2 linked regions of the Nothobranchius furzeri genome follow. The protein of the gene in region 1 interacts with the protein of each later gene in a pairwise test. Links are inferred from orthologs where the notes say so. Each region holds a gene or a part of one and is shown on either strand. Other genes may lie near its edges.

The links.
Region 2: the proteins of mapk8ip3 (region 1) and ldlrap1b interact in binary tests that used the Homo sapiens proteins (3 or more experiments, as listed by UniProt). The two-hybrid records come from large-scale screens. The link is inferred for Nothobranchius furzeri from reciprocal best matches to the Homo sapiens genes MAPK8IP3 and LDLRAP1.

What each region holds. Positions count from the first base shown.
Region 1 is NC_091752.1:51,058,814-51,062,631, forward strand, and holds part of mapk8ip3 (C-Jun-amino-terminal kinase-interacting protein 3), read right to left. Parts: intron 2,177-3,818; coding exon 1,999-2,176; intron 1,933-1,998; coding exon 1,813-1,932; intron 1,739-1,812; coding exon 1,658-1,738; intron 1,567-1,657; coding exon 1,499-1,566; intron 1,283-1,498; coding exon 1,134-1,282; intron 1,061-1,133; coding exon 889-1,060; intron 792-888; coding exon 678-791; intron 1-677.
Region 2 is NC_091758.1:35,449,489-35,453,306, reverse strand, and holds part of ldlrap1b (low density lipoprotein receptor adapter protein 1b), read left to right. Parts: intron 1-413; coding exon 414-556; intron 557-1,176; coding exon 1,177-1,289; intron 1,290-3,818. UniProt on the Homo sapiens protein: Adapter protein (clathrin-associated sorting protein (CLASP)) required for efficient endocytosis of the LDL receptor (LDLR) in polarized cells such as hepatocytes and lymphocytes, but not in non-polarized cells (fibroblasts).

The sequences.
Region 1 (3,818 bases):
CAAATAAAAATTTGGGCATCTTACTGTAAAAAAATATACCATTAATGTAAAAAAGAAACTCTAAAATAACTATGTTCACATTCAGAACTGAACCCGGGACTTCTGCACAAAAGCCCCAAATCTTACCAGGCGAGCTAAACCATCTGTAACATTTATATTCTTGATGACAGCTGAAACAACGTTCAACGAATGGTTCGGAGGGCTATGCCTGAGCGTGAACGCGCATGAAGCAGCCTGCTCGACCCGAGCAGCTCTCTTTTTCTGTGATTTTACAGAAAAACAGGCAATCACAGTAAAATGCCAGGGCTCATTCTACCGGACCAGGGCATTGCAGGAGAATGTATGAAGAAGAAATTTATTATTTCTATACATGTTTTGGCTGTCAAACTTCCATAATGCCCCTTTAATGATGATCCTACGGAAAGCCACAGACAGAAATGTGTTTTATAGCAAATATTTTTTTCCAACAACATGGAAATGTAAAAAAAAAAAAAACCTCCTTTGAACTTGAATTATATTTTTATAATGCATGAGTTTTCCAGGAGCTGTTAATAATCAGACAAGTTCATCGCAGATTGTTCTGAGTAAAGGCAGAACTATATTTATATAATCCTGCTTTGATTAATCTCTTGATAAAAAAAGTTCGATTTCATATTCTGCTGCGTAACTCCACTCACTTTCTGTCAGCGGGATGGAGATGATCACACCGTTTCCGGTTCCCACCCAGAGACGATTTCCACCAATCAGGAGGGCCGTGATCCGAACAAAAGAGAATCCCAGCTTACCAGTACCTGAGGTTTACAATCAGAGTCAGCGAAGTGTAACGACAGCTAAACCAGTAAAGATTTTTCAAGTCCCCGTAAAAATCAGCTGGTTACACAAACTGACCCAGCATCTTGCTGACATATGGCTCGATGTCAACGTCCTGGAGGTGCTGGTGTGTGTGCGCGTGGTACAGTCGCAGTGTTGAATCTAGTCGGATGGACACCCACACACCGTCACCGATCCACGCCAGCTGCCTCACCTGACTCTCCCTGCGAGGGTGAGCGTCAAAGGACTTCTACGACACCAGAACAGGACTGGGTGGGTAAGGGAATCATCAACAGCTGATGCTCCACCTGTCAGAGACTCACCTCGATCTGCATGCTTTTGGGCTGGATGACATGGATCTTGTTCTTATAGCCGCACCACACTTTATCATGGACAACAGCCATGCAGCGGATGGAGTGATGAGGACGACCCAGGTCCATGAGGTGGTAATTGGACAAGTCCCACTGGCCATCTGTGGAAGAAAAAAAACACACTTTTAAAGCAAAACCTATGTCTCTGAACAGCAGGAGGTCACACCTACAGTATATGAAATAAAACCTAAACCCAAAAGCATTCATGGAACTTCATTTAAAAAGTTTTTGAGAAAAAAGATATTTTTTCAGGTTCCATGAAGCATGGATTAATTACAAAAGAAACCTCCGAAACAGAAAATCCCTAATCCTCCCACCTTCTGATCTATGGAAAATAGCGAGCGTCCCGTCGGCCAGCGCCACCAGAACCCGACCCTTCACGTGTCTGCAGAGACAGAAACCAAAATTCACCATATTTATCTCCAGCTAGCTGATTGGTGACTCATCACGCAGGAGTTCAGATTTGTTTGTCTTACACCAGGCTGAGGACGGAATCTTTCAGTTTGATGGAGTGGAGACACTTCTTCCAGTTTCCAACAGCCGAGTGGACATAGAGCCTAGAAGAAAAGTAAAATTCCTGACAGACCCGGAAAGCCTAAAGGCTCTAAAATGTTTTACTGTAGAGACTCACCAGCCATTCTGGGCCCCGAGCCACATGGTGGGGGCAACACTGGTATAGTTTTTGGTCTCTTCCCCTCCGTCCTCTGACTCTGTGGGTTGGGACGCCTCCTCTTTGGACTGACCTGTGCTCCTGTGTGGATAGACGTGAGCATGAAGGGAGTTCTGATGACTAGTTTGTGCTTAGACAGACTTGTACCTGTCATCTGCCAGACGAGGCTGAGGATCTGTAAAGACATGCTCGGTGAAGGGTCCCGGGGGTCCGGATCTCATCTCTGTGTGGTTGGGAGTAGTTTCAGGAACTTCTGTTGCTTCTGTGGCCTCCTCTGCTGACTGAGCTGGGTGCATCTTCCCGTTCACAGGAGGAGCAGAGGGAGCTAGAGGAGACAGGAACTCAGTTGGTGCAACAGCTAAATATAGAAACACTAAAGAGTTTTTAAAACCTTAAGCTACTGCTTTCAAACTGGATCCAGTATCGCTCTAGAGCCGGAAACTAGACCAACTTTAAATTGGACAGCACTCCATAGCCCTCTGCACTTAACAGTTTTGTAGAAGTCTCTACCTGCTTTACAGCAATAGCTGTTTACTGTGCTGGTAGCTAATATTTAGGCTAGCAGTTAGCTTTTATAGTTCCCCGACTGTCAATAACAAGCACAAGAAGTCTTTGGAGGAGAAGCAAAGGGCTAAAACCAGAGTGAACATCCATATTGTCGTTCTTTTTTAAAGCACAGAAACGGTTTTGTTACCTGTTGTTGACGCTACGTTTCAGCGTCAGCCTGAAGAAGCCGGCAGCTGTCGGCGAAACGTAGCGTCAACAACAGGTAACAAAACTGTTTCTGTGCTTTAAAAAAGAACGACAACATGGAATTAGAAATAACGCACAGCAAGAACACACCTAAGATGTTCAAAGAGTGAACATCGGCGCAGCCTAAACTCGTTTCAGGGAGCTGAAGGAGGCTACAATGTCACAGACTGATGGTGACCTGGGTTTCTTCCTACTGGACTTGAAAGTAAAAACATTTTTTGTCCCAAAGTGGATTTTTTCACGTTTTAGTATTAGTTGGCTCGAGTTAGCATAAGAGGCTGCAGCAGGGTTGTTTACGACAGCTTTAATTCTGCTTTCAACCAGTAGAACGGAGAGGTGGGAAACATATTGAGTGTTACTTGAAAGCAAAAATCCAGACTTTTTTCCCCAGACAGCACCATCTAGAGGCAGAAAAATATATTTCTCTTTTAAGCCCCTCTCCATATTTCCGTGTTTACAGCTGGAAGCAACACCACTTGATCATAAACGTGCACCTCAAGCTGGTCAACAGAGCTAGAGCCCAAAATTTTACAATAATTATTTTGATGTTCAGCTGTTTATTCACACACACACACACACACACACACACACACACACACACACACACACACACACACACACTAACCTAAACTAAAAGTTAACAGGGTTCCCACGCGTCCTGGAAAACCTGGAAAATGATAGTCCAATTTTCCAGTCATGGAAAACACATGGAAAATGGGGGGAATTGCAAAATGTCCTGGAAATTTTTGAGTTGTCCTGGAAAATAATTTTCCATCCTTGTGGATAAACAAATGGATTAAACATTTTGGGCAATATTGGGCTGTAGCGCTTCTCCTTTAATTTCTGCATCTAGCTGGCACAGCGCCCCACATGACGCTTCCAACCAATCAGATTGCATAATCCCCTTCAGTTCCAGTTCCACTTCTGTTTTTCCAACTGTCTTTTTGGCTAGATTTACAGATTTTTCATCCCTAGATTTATTTCTCTAAAGAAGGGCCAAAAGTAGCGACTCGGTTCGCGAGTATTGCGTTATCGCAGTTTATAGAGCGAGAGGTTTTTCTCCTTCTCTCTGTTGAGTGACAAAGGAGCAGCGGAGAGCTCTTGTTTTTTTCACTCATGCGATGAGACGAGTGAACATGAGGAGAGCTTCGGGATAGCAACGGAAAGCAGGTAGTCTACCGGACCCGCGCTCCACTCAGTAATTCATACTTGTT
Region 2 (3,818 bases), on another chromosome or scaffold:
TCCGCATCACTGCAGACGCCGGAGGAGCTGGTGGAGGTGGCCGGGGAGAGGACAGTCTGGAGCTCCCTAGTTGGGATGCTGCCCCCGTGGCTCGGACCCGGATAAGCGGAGGAAGACGACGACGACAACCTCAGTTCCTTGGATTTGAATTTGAGATCATGTCATGTTGAGAACATGAGAACATGACATGATCTCAAATTGATGTAGGGTGGACAGTCATGTCCTAAAAGTAAATGTGCAGTTTCACATAATATTACAAGAGCCTGTATAACCAGTGCTGCTGCCACTCCAGTTTGCAACCCGAATATCTGTAAAACTGACTGGGTTTTAGCTTTTTTCAGGTCTGACTCGTCTGAAAAAGCCTTTTATATGTTAATGAGCGTGTGTGTGTGTGTGTGTGTGTCTTCCTGCAGAGCTTCCAGAGAACTGGACAGACACGAGGGAGACCCTGCTGGAGGGCATGGTGTTTCACCTCAAGTACCTGGGGGTCACGATGGTCGAGCAGCCCAAAGGCGAGGAGCTGTCTGCAGCAGCTGTCAAGAGGATAGTGGCCACGGTGAGAGAGGACACACACACACACACACACACACACACACACACACACACACAATAGTGTTCTATTAATATGACTTCCCTCAGAAATGAGTTTCTGTCAAGCATTTATAATATTTTCTCCACATCATCACCTCGGCTACGCAACAGTCGTCCAGTAGTTTTCTTCTGTAATGACTCGACCAGTGGAAGGTGGCTGGCCTGCAGCTCAGGTTGACATTTTAGGCGAGTTAGCGTGGACTCTGCCACTTGCCGAGTGTCTGAGCGAGCTTCATCACGGCAGAGAAGACTTAATGTTACTGGATCTGGTGGAAAATGCAGCAGCATAAAGGTGGAACACGATGATGCATGAAGGGAGATATAAAGACTAATCTCTCTCTGAAGAGGATTACAGAGGACTTGGTGTGTTTGCTGTCGTTCTGATTAATAGGTGAGATTACATCATGGTAGAATCCTTGTTTTATCCCTTAAACTTTGTTTTTGTTAATGTCAGACTTGGATGCATTGGAACTCGATAACTTCAGTACACCTCTGTCATCTCTGTGGTCTGAACGGGCCTGAATGGCCCATTCAGGTTGTTATTTTCAGTCTGATTTAGTTTCTTTTGTCTTTCTGTCTTCTCAGTCCAAAGCCAGTGGGAAAAAGCCGCAGAAAGTGACGCTATCAGTGTCCCCGCGTGGAATCATCCTTTTCGACAGTGCCTCAAACCAGATGATGGAAAATATCTCCATATACAGGTCAGTTATTCGCCGTTGCCCCCTCTCGCGTGGTGGTTGTGTCTGTCAAACGGAGCCACCTGGAGTCTAGAACCCACCCACACTAAAACAAAAGCTGTCCATCTTGTCTTGCTTCCATTTTTCACCCGACGGACGTGTGGCATGCTAAGTTGATGCTGCTGAAGAGAGGAAGATGAGCCGATTCCTCCCTGGAGCCCAACAACAGCTGCATGTCTGAGCTCTGACCTGCAGCTTCATAGACTCCCACATTAGTCTTGTTTTATACAGATCTATCTTACCTGCCTCAGCCTGCAGGCTCGTCTTTCTTCCTCTAAAGCTCATGATCCAAGCGGGAATCACTTTTTCACATTCCACATTTATGAGTTTGCCTATGAAGGAGAGATCTGGGCGTTCCATCATTTTCTAAGGATGATTAGGCTTAAATGCTGAATTTGTCCTGATAAAAATGTCAAATTAAGGACTTAAATTTCAGCCTGGGATGTTTTTCTGAAGTTAGCGACCGACAAATTGACTTTACTGATTTCTTGGTTTATTTTACAGAAATCTAAAAGTGAACTTCTGCTTCTCTCAACTGTGTTGAATAAGAACGTTCTTCTGTTTTAAAGATCTCATTCACTGAGGAACCGTGTAATACCCGTTGTTTTTTAAATAAGAACAGTTTTTTTAAAGCACTCTAACCCTCATCGCCTGTGTTTGCTGCAGACAGGAAGTAGATGGGAAAACGACTGAGTCAGAACAAGCCAGAGGGAATAATGCATTCTTGGCCTCGTTCCTCAGCTTGTGACCAGCTAGCTTCTGCTAGCTACTAGCAATGCCGCAGCATGGCGAAACACGTTCAGGCTTGGGTTATTTGCGGAGATAAAACATCAACATTGCATTTTTTTTATCCAAGACAAGAACGAGCAAAGCCTGGAGGGGACCTGTGTTTATTTATCCAAGTTTACAGAGTGTAAATCGGGTTTGAGTCATATCCAAAAACACCAAAATAAACTTTTGTTTAACAAATCCATTTTCCTCTTATGGGAGCAACAGCTGCATGTCTGACCTTTGACCTCCAGGTTCATATGGACTGTTAGTCCAGCATCCATCCACTCACAGAACAACATACTTGAACTCTTTTGCTTGAGGCTGGGATGGGTACCAAATTCAGTACTTTTTAAGGCACTGACCGAATTCCACAGTACCGACTGAGTACCGATTCACGTCATATGAAACAGTGCCTTTTTCCAGTACCCGTGCTGCGCGCCGGCGCAAGAGCGTAATGTCGTCAGTCACTCTGGGTTAGCTGTAAACAACGCCACGGCAGAGAGGAAGCGTTCTGAAGTTTGGGTCCACTTCACTAAATGGAATGGGTACCTGGGTGATGATGAAACCAGCAACAACGATCTAAGTGAGACGTCATCATCTTAATCTGCTTCGGTAGGTAAATAAAACGTTTAAAATAATGTTAGCTTGAAATGTTGGCTTCCCTTCAGCTAATGTGCTTTCACATTTTCCTCGGAACTCCGAAATTCCGACTAGAAGAAAGCAATGGTGCTCTAAAGTTTGGCTTCACTTCACTGATTGCGATAGGCTGTTTGGTGATGTTGAAACCAGCGACAACGATCTGAGTGCGAGTCTTCTTAATCTGCTCCAGCAGCAAAATAAACTGTTTAAGATAACGTTAGCTTGATAGTTTCATTTTTGTTTACATAGCTAATGGTGCGTTCGCTTTCTCCTCGGAAATTCCAACCTCCGAGTAGGAAAAATAAACCGTTTGAAAATGAACGGCCAAAGGAATGAAGATGCACAGTAAATTTAGTTCACAGCAAAGATGTTTCCTTCACCTTCAGATCGGAGACATGGAATGGAGTCAAACTCCATCTGGGAACCAGCTCAACCTAGTAGCGCTTGCTTTGGTTGTTCAGGGATTAGAGATTCCTTAAAACAGACCCCAGTACCTCATACTGTTCAGCAGTCGGCTTTTCCTCATCACAAGGAGTTAGTTGAGGTGTGTTGGGTATCTGATTACCCATCTGCTCACCTTCCTCTGGAGGTTTCCTGGGAGTGTCTCATTGGGAAAATCCCTGGGGCAGAGCAGGAAGCTTTAAGAGGGACTATAGATCCTGTATGACCAGGAAAAGCTTTAGGATCTCCCAGGAGGAGCTGCAAAATCTCAAAAGTTAGACCTTGGAAAAGTGGGAGACAGTGGATGGATGAAAGGATGGAAGAATGAAACGATGGACAGATGGATGAAAGGATGAATGGATGATTTCCTCGTAAATGCAACACCTCTTGAACCAACAACTAAAACTAAACAACTAAAAGATTGAAAACCCATAAGAACTGTTCTGGACTCCCGGTTCCCCCAACCAGACCTTTGGTGTTGTTCAGACCACAGCTGTGACCCCCTCCCTCTCTCAGCATGCCTTCATTTGTTCATCTGTAAATAAATACATAATTATCTCAGTATTGAAGGAAAGGACAGCGAGAGGACACATGTCGGACACATTTTGCCCTTCCTCTATCACTCCACCCATCCCCAACTCG